3 linked regions of the Sus scrofa genome follow. The protein of the gene in region 1 binds, or shares a complex with, the protein of each later gene. Links are inferred from orthologs where the notes say so. Each region holds a gene or a part of one and is shown on either strand. Other genes may lie near its edges.

The links. Proteins that work in one complex are often made in the same cells at the same time.
Region 2: NUP214 (region 1) and NUP153 share a complex: the UniProt entries of both Homo sapiens proteins name them as parts of the nuclear pore complex. The link is inferred for Sus scrofa from reciprocal best matches to the Homo sapiens genes NUP214 and NUP153.
Region 3: NUP214 (region 1) and CETN2 share a complex: the UniProt entries of both Homo sapiens proteins name them as parts of the nuclear pore complex. The link is inferred for Sus scrofa from reciprocal best matches to the Homo sapiens genes NUP214 and CETN2.

Annotation. Positions count from the first base shown.
Region 1 is NC_010443.5:271,102,303-271,107,142, forward strand, and holds the start of NUP214 (nuclear pore complex protein Nup214), read left to right. Parts: upstream 1-1,535; 5' UTR 1,536-1,897; coding exon 1,898-1,942; intron 1,943-4,826; coding exon 4,827-4,840. UniProt on the Homo sapiens protein: Part of the nuclear pore complex. Has a critical role in nucleocytoplasmic transport.
Region 2 is NC_010449.5:13,463,165-13,468,098, reverse strand, and holds the start of NUP153 (nuclear pore complex protein Nup153), read left to right. Parts: upstream 1-1,521; 5' UTR 1,522-2,091; coding exon 2,092-2,202; intron 2,203-2,320; exon of another isoform or gene 2,321-2,551; coding exon of another isoform or gene 2,552-2,620; intron 2,621-2,683; exon of another isoform or gene 2,684-3,021; intron 3,022-4,934. UniProt on the Homo sapiens protein: Component of the nuclear pore complex (NPC), a complex required for the trafficking across the nuclear envelope. Functions as a scaffolding element in the nuclear phase of the NPC essential for normal nucleocytoplasmic transport of proteins and mRNAs.
Region 3 is NC_010461.5:123,902,634-123,907,585, reverse strand, and holds the start of CETN2 (centrin-2), read left to right. Parts: upstream 1-1,539; 5' UTR 1,540-1,593; coding exon 1,594-1,692; intron 1,693-2,597; coding exon 2,598-2,756; intron 2,757-3,011; coding exon 3,012-3,140; intron 3,141-4,177; coding exon 4,178-4,315; intron 4,316-4,734; coding exon 4,735-4,824; 3' UTR 4,825-4,952. UniProt on the Homo sapiens protein: Plays a fundamental role in microtubule organizing center structure and function. Required for centriole duplication and correct spindle formation. Has a role in regulating cytokinesis and genome stability via cooperation with CALM1 and CCP110.

The DNA.
Region 1 (4,840 bases):
GAACTCAGCTCCTGGGTCTCAAGAGTGGTCCCTGGAAAGGGTGTGTGTGTGTGTGTGTGTGTGTGTGTGTGTGTGTGTGTGTGTGTGTGTGTGTGTGTGTGTGTGTGTGTGTGTGTGTGTGTGTGTGTGTGTGTGTGTGTGTGTGTGTGTGTGTGTGTGTGTGTGTGTGTGTGTGTGTGTGTGTGTGTGTGTGTGTGTGTGTGTGTGTGTGTGTGTGTGTGTGTGTGTGTATTTCAGGTTGTGGCCATTAGCTCTAGGACTCTTATTTTTCTGGCCATGGGCTCAGCTTCTTAGAAGTTCCGCTGTTTCCTCTCTGAAAGACCAAATCTAACTAATATAACCAGCAACTTGGGGGCTGCCAATATGGCTTCACCCCTGCCATTGGAAAGGAGGGAGTGTATGGGGCAAATTCAGGTGGATGCAGTATGTGTGTATGTATGCATGTGAGTGTGTGCGGTACCAGATATCTCTACAGAATGGAAATAAAACAAACTTATCAACGTCTTGATTGGTGTATTTTGGGGGTGGTTCTGGGCCTTAGTAAACTGAGAAGCACTAGCTGATATAGTGACAGACTAAAAGAATGTGTCCTGTGTGCCAGGTGCTGTTAAACGTTGAACTTCCTTTGCTTCTCATAGCAACCCCATGAGTAAGGTTCCATTATGTCATTTTTGTTTGAGAAATGAGAAGCAGGCTTGGAGCAGATGAGGAGTCTGCTGAAAACCAAGCAGTGACAGAATACGTACCCCTCCCCCCATCTTCCCGGGAGCTGATCACAGCCTCCAAGCTAAGAATCTCTGTCCTAGAGCATTTACAGTTCCACTGCAAAAATCTCTACGTAGGACTGTGTCATAGTCAGCAATCAGTATATTCAGACAAGCCGAACTCTAATCCTGCCTTCACCACTTGAGGGGCACTGGGGAATTTTCTTAACTCCTCTGTGCTTCCAGTCACCTCAATCAATTAAATGGCAGTGACAACCCCTAGGTGACTACTGAAGAGTAAACAACACATCTAAAGTGTTTTGTGGGAGTTCCCGTTGTGGCACAGCGGAAATAAATCTGGCTAGTATCCAGGACCATGCGGGTTCCATCCCTGGCCTGGCTCGGTGGGGTCGGGGATCTCGCGTTGCTGTGGCCTGCTGTGTAGGCTGCCCGTTGTAGCTCTAATTAGACCCCTAGCCTGGGAACTTCCATATGCCACACAGGCGGGGCCTAAAAACCATAAATTAAATAGTGTTTTGCCCAGTTTTTGGGCCCTTGCACCGGAAACGATTACCTTGAAAGGCGTAAACAAAGCTAATCACTGGTGCCCTCTAATCTCCCCTTTCAGCCATTAGACACAGAAGAGTCTCGCTGGCGACACCCACCTCACCAACTTCCCGCACTTTTCCCTCCACTCTCCCGGCCTCCAAAGCCCTTCTCAGGAGCTGCCCCTTGGAAGTATTTGTCAAGTTCCTAACTTCTCTACAATTGGAGCTATTAATAACCACCTACATCCACAGATTACAGTGTCGTTTCCATTAAACGAGCGTGGAGGCCCTGCAGGTGCACCGCTCAAAGAACGAAAGCGAAACCGCGCCACCTGCTAAAGCGGCTGCTGCAACCGGACCTCCCGCGCGCAGGCGCCCCAGCTCCCGGGCCACGCCCCCTACTCGGTCCAAGCCAGCCAATGGGAGGCGGCGGCCAGGAGGGCTCAAGACTTCAGAAGGGCCCTCAGCCTCCCTTCACAGGTCCGCGGACCGAGGAGCTTGACGTCACCAATGCGCGCCGGAAGTACGTAATCTGCGGAGCGCTGCTCAACCTGAAGAAAGGAAGTTGGCCTGGAAGCGCCTGGGTAGTGTTGGCGAGGCCCCGGGCAGCCGCGGTGGCTGCTTTGACCAGTTGAGAGCGGCGAGATGGGAGACGAGATGGACGCCGTGATCCCCGAGCGGGAGATGAAGGTCAGACACTGGCCGGGGCCTCCCCCCCTTTCTTAGTTCAGGTGTTGCCTGCGAGACGCGAGTGTCGGCTGCCCCGCCCCCCGCCTGCAGCTCGAACTGTTTGCCGGGCTCACGGTTCTCACCAACGCGTCCTGGAGAGCTCTGCCGTGCCGCCGGCGTAAAAGCCCCACTGAATGCAGTTTTGCCGCCCTAGTTGGTCTTGTCTGAGCTTCTTGAGTTATCCTAACTACGCTTTTTTTTTTGGCCGCGCTCGCGGCTTGCGGAAGTTTTTGGTCCAGGGATCGAACCCGAGCTGCTGCAGTGACAACTCTGGATCCTTTAACCGCTAGACCACAAGGGAACTCTTCTCCTACCTACTCTAATGTGGTGGTCGGAGTAGTGGTCATAACCACTGTGTATCGAGCGTTTGCTTTATGCCAGGCACTGATAATTATCACAGCAACTTACGAAGTGCTTGTTAATATAGAGTAGCAAGTTGAGGCTCAGAAAGTAACTTGCCCAAAGCCTCATTTGACAAGCGTGCAGAAATTTAGGTGTTTGTCGTTAGTGTTTTCAAGACCCTCTCTCAGGTGCCAGTACTTCTGTAAGGTGGTCCAGGCTTGCCCGTTCATCACTGAACCTTGTAAGAGCTTTAGTTAACTGGAACTGGAGGACTCTTTTGGTCCTGGAAATCAACCTGAAGTCAGAACACTTGAGCGGGCCAGCTGAGCCAAATGATGAGAGGGAATTCACAAGAAAACAGGACTGTGTTGTAGGAAGACTTTAGGTATCTGAACAACTAATCACTGAAGTGCATTTAAAGCGTAGTAATCCATACCATGTTTAGAGCTGTGATGCTCTCTTTCTCCTTGAGAATCACTGCCCTGGATGAGCCACCCAGTGAGTGTGCCATGTTCCTCAGATATGCTGGGGCAGAAGGATGAAGAGGTTTAAGAACAACCACCTTCCTGGGTTACTGGTTACAAGACCCAAGTAGGGGAGTTCCCGTCGGGGCCCAGTGGAAACAAATCCGATTAGGAACCATGAGGTTTCGGGTTTGATCCCTGGACTCACTTAGTGAGTTAAGGATCCGGCGTTGCTGTAACTGTGGTGTAGGCCAGCAGCTGTAGCCCCGATTGGACCCATAGCCTGGGAACCACCATATGCCACGAGTGCAGCCCTTAGAAGACAAAAGATAAAAGACAAAAACAAACCAAAAAGCCAAAACAAGACCCAGGTAGGATATTTGGGATTATCAGGATGAGAATTAACAAAAAGATTCACAATTTTGTGGTCTCACTTGGAAAGCCATGTGGATTTCTGATCCCTATACTTGGTTGAAATTAAGAAGAGTACTTCAAGAGTTCCCATCGTGGTGCAGGGGAAACCCGACTAGGAACCATGAGGTTGTGGGTTTGACCCCTGGCCTCGCTCAGTGGGTTCAGGATCTCGGCGTTGCCGGTGACTGTGGTATAGGTCACAGACACGGCTTGGATCTGGCGTTGCTGTGGCTGTGGTGTAGGCCGGCAGCTGTAGCTCTGAATCAACCCCTAGCCTGGGAACCTCCATATGCCTCAGGTGAGACCCTAAAAAGAAAGAAAGGCTGTCTTCACTTTTATACTTTTTGGAGTGTAAGCAAAAGAAGATTCACACTCTTTTCACTAAAACCTTCACTTAAAGCTGGATTAGAATTGAAGAAAGAAAAAAATAAAAACCGATATAGTATAACTTAATTATTGGCAAGCTTATATGGAACGCTTTTTACCAAGAGATGGTACATACTGAAAATTCTTTGAAAACAGATTGATAAAATCATGGGAGACTAGATGAGTCAGGCATTGACAGGAGGTTGAGGAAGGCTACCAGGCCCTGAGGCACTAAGGAGCATGAAAATGGAAGGAAGGGAAAACCAGAAGTGAGTAGGTGGGGGGTGGAGGTGGCGCTGGACGTGGCAGGGGTGATGGCGTAGTTGTGCAAAGGAAGCAGTGTTGTCAGGTGGCGCTTCAGCTTGGGCGGGTCAAGCCAAGCTGCTTACTGCCTGTGGCCGGGGTTCGGGCTTGGTTTTGGAGGGTCCTCATGGCATCTGGGCGTGTTGGGCCTCAACACCAAGGGTTTGACTGCACACATCCCCATCTGTGACGGGAGTTTTGTTTAGCAGGCATCTGATGCAGGTAAACCAGTTCTTGGGAGTTTGTTACCCTTCAGTGGTCACCTCCATGTATATTTGTTGAGTACTATACTGGTAATTTGAGTTTACAGGGTAGGAGGTCCTGTCATGGCTCAGCAGTTAACAAACCTGACTGGCATCCATGCGGACGCAGGTTCGAACCCTGGCCTTGTTCAGTGGGTTGAGGATCTGGCGTTGCCGTGAACTGTGGTGAAGGTCTCAGATGCGGCTCGGATCCTGTGTTGCTGTGGCTCAAGTGTAGGCCGGCGGCTACAGCTCTCATTAGACCCCTAGCCTGGGAACCTCCGTATTTTGTGGATACAGCCCTAGAAAAGACAAAAAGACAAATAAATAAGCTAGGAATTCAGAAAAGGGAAAGATCAGTGTTCACTGGGTTAGTCAAGAAAAGCTTCATGAGTTTTTAAAAATTTATTTTATTCAATAAATACTAATAAGCACTATGCCAGGTACCACAATGTCATAGGAAGATTAAAAACGCGCAGAGTTCCCTCATGGCTCAGTGGGTTAAGGATCCTGCAGTGGCTCAGGTCCCTGCTGTGGTGTGGGTTTGATCCCTGGCCTAGGAACTTCCACATGCTGCAGGCATGGCCCAAAGAAGACTGAGCTACACAGTACTTAGCCTCAGGGTAACATGTATTTTGTCGTACTGGAATATAGTGACAGGTGATTTAATTTCCTATTTACTTGAATTGATCTTGTTTTGACCCCTCACCACAGGATTTTCAGTTTAG
Region 2 (4,934 bases), on another chromosome or scaffold:
TACCTGGAGAGTCTAGTGAGAAGTTAGTGGTGGAGTTGGGGCATGAAGGTATAAAATGGAAGCACAAAAGGAAGTAGATTAATTTTGTCCATCATATTTGGGAACTTTTTATAGTCTTGGTGGTGATAAGGTCAGAGATGCCATTTGTTCTGTCAGCCTATGCTGGAAGATGCTGCAAATTCTAAGGTACTGCTTAAGTTTGGCTTCACCTTTTGACTTATATGATTTATATAGCGATTGGAATCATGCAATTTGGTGGTAGAGATGGTATAAAAGTCTTGAGGTTAATTATTTGTATCAGATAACTGGATGATATTAGATGCTTTCTGTCTAAGCAGTTATTATGAATTATGTATATTAATCCTTTCACCAGAACCACCAACTTGTTGAGGTTAATATTCATTCTATTTGCAGATGAGGAAACTGAAGCGTAGAAAGAGGATCAGTAACTTACCCAAGGCTACACAGCTAGTAAGTGATAGATTTAAAATTAAGTTTATTTGAATCCAAAGCTATTTATAAGCTTTAAAATCAATTGTCTCAAATGGAACATTAAGCCCATGTGTTTTCACAGAAGTAGATTTTCTTTCTAATCACTTGGTTACTTGTTTCAACTCCTACAGAAAAGTTGGGTTATAGTCCTGGCTTTGACTGCCCAGTTCAGTGTCCTCCAATATGTCGACTAAATTCTCCGGAACCCCGTCTTGTCCGTTGAATGAGGGCTGGCGCACGTGATCACCCAGATCTTTCTAACGGTCAACTTTTAAAAATCGCTATACTTTGTGGATTAAGTCTTTGAGCCTAACTCACTTTTCACTTTGCTAAATATAATGCCTTCTATTTGGAGCAAATATATGTATACTTTTATTACTGGTAATATACGGCTTACCTCTAACGTGAGCTTGACTGCTGTAGGTGATCACCGTAACCATTTATTGCATCTCTTGCATGCCAGGAAATACACTAAGTGCTCCACGTAGATGATCGCAACAGCTGTATAAGCTGGATTTTAAAGTTCCCATTTTATAGGGGCGGAAGGTTTTGACTTCAAGGTCAAACTTAAGTGGTGGAGCCAGACAGCACTTGTGTGTTTGACAACAAAGCCCTTATTGTAACGGACATTAATGAAACTGTATATATTTGCTAATTCTGTTTTAGGCTTAAAGATCATAGACACTGTCTTTTCAACCAGTTTTTTTCTTTTTATAAGATATTGTTAGCTTCTCTCTGTGATTTTACTATGTGCTTACTTTCTTCCCGCTTTACCATTCCAGAGAAGGAAAGTGGGAAGGAGGTTACCGTTTGTGTTAAATGCCTCTTTCAAAGTTTAGAATCAAGAGCAGTTAAAAGGAACGGAACCCCTGGCTTTGTGCCTCTGCAGGGAACCGCCGCTCTCCTTCCGCGTCCTCCGTTCTGAGCACGCGCCTCCTTCCGTTGAACTACGTTTCCCAGCGGCCCGCGCGGCTGAGAGCGCGGGCTCGACTAGCCCTTCCCACCTCCCCGCCTATCACCTGGTCACATCGTGATGATGCAAACTCGTCGCGCGCTGACTAGTGACGGCGTCCTGGCTCGCGACCGCAGCGGCGGCCTTAGTAGCGGTAATAGACGCAACAGCGGCGATTGCAGGGACGACGACGACGACGGCGGGGCGGGCGCTGTGCGCAAAGGGGAGGGGTAGGCGGGCGGCGCCGGCGGCTTCAACTGCGGCAGCTACGGCTAGGGCGACGGAAGAAGAATCCCCGTCAGCCGGCGGTCGCGTTAGGCCTAAGCAGCGCTTGGAACCTCTTGTGTTGTCCTCGCGGAGAATCTCCATAGAGACGGTGACATACACAGAGGCGGGGGTCCGCGGGAGGCTGCCGGACGGGAGCCAGGTCCTCGGCCTGTGTCGCCGCCACCCCCTTCGCTGCCGCCAGCGCGCATTCTCTCTCGGCTCCTGCTCGCAGACCCGCGGTTCCTGGTGTGCCTGTGACCCACTGTGTGGGCAGCGCGGACGGACTTTTGGGCTGGGGCCGGGCGGGGGGGCCTCAAGGCCGCCTCTGCCTCTCCCGCCCCCTAACCCGCTCCTCAGGGGGAAGCCGCGGAGGCTCCGCCATGGCCTCGGGAGCCGGAGGCTTAGGAGGGGGCGGTGGCGGCAAGATCCGGACGCGGCGTTGCCACCAGGGGCCAATTAAGCCTTACCAGCAGGGGCGACAACAGCACCAGGTACGGGACCCCGGCGCCTCGGGGCCTAGCGGGTCGGGCACTGGGGTGGGGAGGGAACGGGCGTGAGGGGTCCGGGGCCCCACGTGGAGCGGACGGGAGGGCCTGAGCGAAGGCCCGAGCAGGGCGGCGGGAGCTCGGGCCGCTGGGGTGGCGACGGGAAGTGGGCTGAGACAGGCCAATCTTGCGGCGCACACGTGTGGTTCGGGCCGCCTCTCCCCAGCCCTCTTAGCCTGGGGCTTTCCCCCGACCGGCGCAGGGCGGGAACAGAAATCCTAGGCCACGACGGGCCTAGGATTCTTTCGTTTTTGGCGGGGATTGGGGGTGTGAGGGTGTTACCCACGTCTTCTGGATGGGAGAAAGGAAAAGATGTGGCTGGAGGCCCCTACGTTTGATATTTTCTAGTCTCCCGCGTTTCAGCGTGAGTGGGGAGGGGGCTGCCCTGGGGTATCGGCCTCTGGGGCCCCCGGGGGTTGGTGGTGGTGGGGGGCGCTGTTAAACGGCAAGTGGAAGAAGTTACTCTCAACCTATTAGTTAATTCTCCATCTCCCCTTCCCGGGTGCCTCCCGATCTGAGAGCGTTGACTTAGATTTTTGTTTTCTTAACCGGGTTATAGTTAGTGGCACCGGGGCATTTTGAAAGTCCCTCTCCGCACTTACGTCTTTTTTCCGTCGCAAGACTCTTCCCTCCCCACTATGTCCACCCCTCCCCTTTTTATTTTGGAGGCTAGAATTGGCCATTGCGCACAGTTGACCGGAACTCCAGTTCTCATCTCATGCACAAAATATTTTAATATTATGGGACGTACTTTAGGAAGTTCAGGTACTTTTTAATAGTCTAGGAATATTGGTGGTCTTATAATTTAGTCACCTTGTGTACTCGTGGGCGCTCGAAATTATGAACAGGGGTTTAGTCTAATTGTAACTGAGATGTTAGAGTCTGAGAAAATTCTGCTTTTTAGCTGTTAATTGTTTGTTATGGGAATTGAGTAGGAAAATGTTAAATATTCTAATAAAAGGCCCTTTAAAATTTCTCGGTGGGAAGTATATGTCTTAAACCTGTAAAAAAACTAAAGTATGGCAAAAGGGTCTGAAAACTTGTTGCGTCCTGTTGAAGGCAGACTTCCTAGATTGCTGTGTTGTGGATGATAATGAATATGAGCACTTTGACATGTTTAGTGGTGGTAAATTGTATCATGAAAAAACAGAATTTTAAAAATAAAGATTTGGGAGAAATTTCTTAACAGTAAAAACTGGGTTATAATAGTAAGTATCTTTCTACTAATGGTTATAAGCCTTGGCATTATTGTTAGCTCCCACCACCAGTTGTCCCCCAGATATATACCAGGAGTGCTTGGTTTTTAGATTTCTTTGTGAGGAGCAGGGGTACTTGCAGACAGATTTGAGATTAAAATTCAGGTCACAGGACTGGCCATTTAACCTAATCCTTTTGGAGAGTGGAATTTAGACACATGCTTTCTGTTTTTCCTGAGGAATAAATGTCTTTCAGTGCTTTCTTACATCTCCTTAAAGTTTCTACATAAAAAAATGATATGTTGTAAATACAGATCACTGGATGATGTGGGCAGAGTGTAGAGAAGAACTCATATATTCCAGGTAGCAAAAACTATAACCGCACTTTATTTTTAAATGTACTTAGAGAAAAATCTGATTTGGGGGAAGGTGATGCCTTAACAACATTTAACACCTATGATCCAAATTGTCTTAGAGCTGATAGGATTTCAGACTCTGCAGTTTTGTGTTAGAGCTTGATCATTTATCATGTCGCCCTCTCTGAAATACTTTCAGCTATTTGCGTGAGCCATCTGATTGAAAAAGAAAGAACATTTTTAGGTTTTGAATTGGGATTAAAGATGTTTGGCGGTTTCTTGATTAACATTGCAGATACATTGTGTTAGTATTGGCAGATACTACCAAAGAAAAGTATCTGGGAATATACAAAAGAATATTCTATTTAATTTAACGATTTTTAAAATCTTCAAGACTTTCTTTAGTGCTTACTGGAACTTTTGTGGATTATGGACTACCTGCTTGCTGTCAGCTTTCCTGGGCTGTCACCTCTATGTTTTGCAGCAGCTGCTGAGTCATCATGAATAGCAAGGAGCTTCATGACATGGCATGTTTTATACTAATGTTATTTGATTAAGTGTCCAGTGGTTTCTGGGCAAAAATGAAGTTTTTGGTTGTGTAGTAGAGGGTTGGAATAAGAATGGGAGATCTGGCACTGTTAGTTAATGGATATTTGTCATCACCTTTCAGGCCAACTGGCTTGCCCAGTCACACAGAACGTACAACTTTTGCATGTGTTCAACTGACTTGTAATTTCCTGTTTTGACTTCTGGTTTAGCTCAGCTGAGATATATTTCAAGTTTACACTTTTTCCTTTTAACTTCTGATCTTTAAAATGGCATTTTCTTGAAGTTGTGGAGGTAAAAATCTATTGTCTTACTCAACTAACTGAAAGGTAGTAACTTAAGAATTGTAGAAGCAAAAGTGAAGAACAGCACTGAATGAATAAGTCATCATTTCCACTTGCCTCCTTTCCTGTCCCAGGTGCATTTAGGAAATGGTGCCATTTTTTTTACTTGGGCTTGAACAGGTCGCTACAGAAGATGTGGTTAGTTCTTGCCACCTGTTCAGTATCCTTTTTCATTTCCTTTTTGTACGGATTGTCAGGCCCAGAAAGTCAGCTTTGGAGAGGTCATGCTGCTTTTT
Region 3 (4,952 bases), on another chromosome or scaffold:
CAGAGAAAGGTGTAGGGTTTGGGTGTTCTGGGAGATGCAGGGCTAAATAGGATGCTTAGGGTGGCTCACTGAGAAGGTGACAGTGGAGCAAAGACCTGGAAGAAGGAAACAAGTAGAACAAACAGGCAGAAGAGATGGTTGGAACAAAAGTTTGAAGGCAGGAGTGTGTCCGTGCATTTGAGTCCATCAAGGAAGCTAGTGTCCTGGGGCTGGAGCAGCCAGGGGAGAGGAGGAAGCATGTTGGGATGGGCCTTGCAGAGCATGGTGAGAGCTCTGGCTTGTACCCACAGGGGGGCTGCTGCTGAAGGCGTGAAGTGGGACAGGAGCAACAGAGGTGGAAAAGAGAAAAGAAACACCCTTTAAGGAGGAAGCTGACAGAAAGTGGAGGCTAGTTAGTGGGGCCAGGGCAGGAAGAGTCAAATAGGACCAAAAGGTTTTGGACTCGGCTTGTGCTCAAAGAGGAAGAGGGTAAAGGGCAGAAGTTCGGCAAACATTTTCGCTTAATGAATGTCAATAAATCTCAGGCTTTCTTCAGCCTGAGAAACTTATGCTCTGTCCCCTGCTTCCCAAAATGCTGTGCCAATGCCCAGAGGTGAAGCAGGTAAGGGCTGAGAGGCAAGAAGTGCCCTTACACTGGGCTGGCTAAGGAAGGCAGACCTTGGACTTCCAGGGCCACTGTTCCAGCTCCCTTTCATCTGTTACCGTGGCACACGCCCCCTTGTAATTCTCTGAGCAAGCCTCACCTTTCCAAAACGGCTCTGTGACTTTGCTCATGAAGTGTCCCCACCTGGAATACTCCTCACTATCCGCCTTGAGTGTTTGGTTGTCAAAATGAGTATATTTTGATGATCTGTCCCCTTTATGCTCACTCAAATCTCCTTCACTCCCTTCAAAGGCCGTTCCTAGGCCCCCAGCTCATCTTCCCGAGCTGCTTTTAGCCAGGTGAGAACTAAAGTGATCCTATCTTGTTATCTATTTGGGGTGGGACGGACACGCCCAAAGAAAGAGCCTCAGGTGGATGAATTCAGCTTCTAAGTCCCAGACGTCCGAATTTCTGTGATAACGCCCGGCCTCTGCCTTTCCTTCTCCGTCTCAGTTGCCCCGTAAATACATCCTCTGCTCCAACACGCAAGGTCACGGTCTTCTCTGGCCCCTCTGACCCTAACTCAGTCTTAGTCCAGACCAGAAAGTCCCCGACCGGGTGAGGGCTTGTTACCTTTTCGAGCCCCGCGAAAGGCCCCACCCAATTCCTTGCCTTTCCAGTCCTATCGCCAACCCAAGAGCGAGGTCGCAACCCTTACCTGTTGGTAGGTGCCTCCCTGGCCGGCCTCAGCGCATCGGTAGCCTACAGCCTCAGAGCTCCAGGCGCCAGCAACCACCTGTTTCTCCCCACCCTTATGAGGCTACTATCAGCCGAGGCGCCTCCACCAAAGGGATTGGTGCTGGCTCGGCCAATCAGCGCTCGCGGTGTAATCCTGCCCAATAAGGCCAGGCCGCGCCACAATGCCCTGCGCCCTGCGTCAGGCCTCCGTCGGGTTAGTCCCACCCACTCCAGCACTGTGCCAATGGGGAGCTGCAGTCATCTGTCCTCCAATGGGGTGCAAGGCCGCGCGCAGGGGGCGGTGGGAAGGGCGCCGAGTCGGTGTGTACGTCCGTTGCCGTAACAACGGGAAGCGGAGTCCATCGGCGATGGTGAGTGCTTGTTACCCTTTCGAACCCTGTGTCCAGAAGCTGAGCCCTTCACAGGCCTTGGCCTGGCCCCGCCGTCTCTCCTGCGCGGTTCTCGGCTTTGGCGCACTCTTTCCTCTGAGCGCTTCCCGGAAGGGTAGGGTAGAGATCCTGGCCGCCCTGCTGGGCCTGCGATTAGCCGCTGCGTCCCATTCAAGCCACAGCTGGCCCCTATCCGTCCTTCGGGCTCCCCTGGCTCCTTCGGTGACCACCTCTGGTCAAAACAGACTCGGGCTCTTCGCACACCCCGACCACTTCCAGACTCTGGCCTCCTGGCCGCCTCTACCAAAGTTTCTACCCAGAGCCTAGGGGAAGTTTATTGTGTTTGATTGTTAATGTGCATTTAAAATGTTAAATATTGGGACTTCGGAAACGCTTTGACCTTCTTGGGGAAGGCTCAGATGTGCCGAGGGGATTGAGTTTTATTATTCGATATTGACAGAATATACATCTTAACTTAGTATTTGGCCAAATTAGAAGTAATCAGAAAATCTTATAACTTAGAGCGAAGCAGAATAGCGTTCTAAGGACATTTTTAGATTTAGGGTCCCAAATTCAGAGAGAGCTGATTATCTGTACATTTATCCAGAGTCAGCTCCTTGGCCAGCTCTCTTTTTAGATGATTTCAAATAAGAGATATCCAAAAGAACAAAGGATCTCCTTCTAGAAACAGTAGTAAAGAAGAGGGAGGGATAGAGGTGCAGAGAAAGAGTATTTGCTCTTTTCACTAAACGCTGTTATTTCTCCTGTTAGTTTTGGAATTCGTTGGTATAAACTATTTTAAAAGTAGATAGGATTGTAACATATTTATGTAAAATATGTACCCTATTACATAATACCGTGCTTCTCTGTTTGTGAAACATATAAAGGCCTCTAACTTTAAGAAGACAAACGTGGCATCTGCTGCCCAGCGAAAAAGGATGAGCCCTAAACCAGAGCTTACTGAAGAGCAGAAACAGGAAATCCGAGAAGCTTTTGATCTCTTTGATGCTGATGGAACTGGGACAATAGATGTTAAAGAACTTAAGGCAAGCCCTGTACATTCCTGCTCTGCTGCCTTGACTTTTCTCTGCCTCTTTCTCTTCTGTGCTGTTTTTCTGTCTTTATTTACCTCAAGTATTATTAAACAAAATTGAGTGCAAATATCAATTTGCTTAATGTTATAGTGTTTCCTAATTATTTTAACATGATTGTGTCAGATACTGGCTTAATGCTCTCAATGCTGTCATTTTTTGCCCCTGGGTTTAGATGTACATATTGAGATGATCCTGTTTTCATTGCAGGTGGCAATGAGGGCACTGGGCTTTGAACCCAAGAAAGAAGAGATCAAGAAAATGATAAGTGAAATCGATAAGGAAGGGACAGGAAAAATGAACTTCAGTGACTTTTTAACTGTGATGACTCAGAAAATGGTAGGTTAGCTAAGATGATGGGTGTATTTTCCACCAATAATGGTGGACAGATTTGAGTCTAGATATGAAAGTGTCTTTTCACCCATTGGTCCCTTTCTCTTTCATTGGCCTCCTGGCTCCTCCTCAGTGTGGCTCATGTACATTCTACTGGCCCGTGGAAAAGTAGCTCCATCAGTGCTTCAGCTGTGCTTCCCAAGGCACAGGTCTCTTCCCACTCTAATAATCCTGTTGCTTTGAAATCATCTAATCACACCCATATTTTTCTTCAGGGACTAAGTTAAGAGTTCAGGAAGCTTTTCCTCTTTTCCTCTGTCAGAGTACCTGGGATTCTAGTAACTCTTGGTGCTCTCATAAGTGAAATCGCCTTCTCTTTCCTCCCTGCTCCCCTCTGCCCCCAAGAGGATCCCAGCTTAAGCAGTGGAATTTCCTCTAAACTTAATCCCATCATCTGCTGCTGTATTTTATTTATTTATTTATTTTTTTGTCTTTTGTTGTTGTTGTTGTTGTTGTTGCTATTTCTTGGGCCGCTCCCGCGGCATATGGAGGTTCCCAGGCTAGGGGTTGAATCGGAGCTGTAGCCACCGGCCTACACCAGAGCCACAGCAACGTGGCATCCGAGCCGCGTCTGCAACCTACACCACAGCTCACGGCAACGCCGGATCGTTAACCCACTGAGCAAGGGCAGGGACCGAACCCGCAACCTCATGGTTCCTAGTCGGATTCGTTAACCACTGCGCCACGACGGGAACTCCTGCTGCTGTATTTTAAAAAGCAGTCTACTTTTCTCTTCCATTTGTATAGAAAATGTTTTAAGTGCAAGCCTTTATATTTCCTTCTTAGCCTCTGGGATTGTACCAATTTCATGTTTGTCCCCTCTCTCTACGCTGGTTGATTTTTGATCTTCTGTGACCTAGCACCAATGTCATGAGGCCATGTGGTGCTGTTGTGGCAGGGCAGAGGGGATGGTGCTAGGGTTGTGGGACACAGGTAATTATGAGTCTCTTTACTCATGTGTTTTTTATGTTCTACTTGTTAAGTCTGAGAAGGATACCAAAGAAGAAATCCTGAAAGCTTTCAAGCTCTTCGATGACGATGAAACTGGGAAGATATCGTTCAAGAATCTAAAACGCGTGGCCAAGGAGTTGGGCGAGAACCTCACTGACGAGGAGCTGCAGGTGTGTGATGTGTCAGCCTGGAGCCCTGTGTGGCTTTTCCGTGTTATGTTTTCTCTAATGCTTTGGAGGAAAACTAGCATTCTCTTGTCCCTCTAGTGACCATTTAATTTCTTTTTCAATAGTGTGGCAAACGTATGGGCGCTGCTGCCTCACGGATAGTTTTACTTACTATTTTAGGTTTTAGGCGTCTCCCTGGTCAAGATGATCTTCGAGCTCAGGTGATACATGTGTGGCAAAGGATGGCTGGGTTTTCAAATAACTTTTCGGGAGGCAAGCTATTATAAGAAGCAGCATCTTGTAGTGTGTGTGTGTGTGCGGGGGACTACAATTGTCTATTCAGGTAGCATTATAAAAGCCTATTATTTAGTCACATTTTTGTTTCATTTATGAATTCATCTAACTTGACTCCTGTTGTGCAGGAAATGATTGATGAAGCTGATCGCGATGGGGACGGAGAAGTCAATGAGCAAGAGTTCCTGCGCATCATGAAGAAGACCAGTCTTTATTAAGCTCGGTCTCTTTCCTACCGCAAGCACCTGGAACTAGACTGAGTGCCTGCCATTGTGTGAAACCTGGTTTTTGAGAACATAAATTACTTCTCCCCCACTGACCTCTCTGTCTAACAACTTCAGTGACA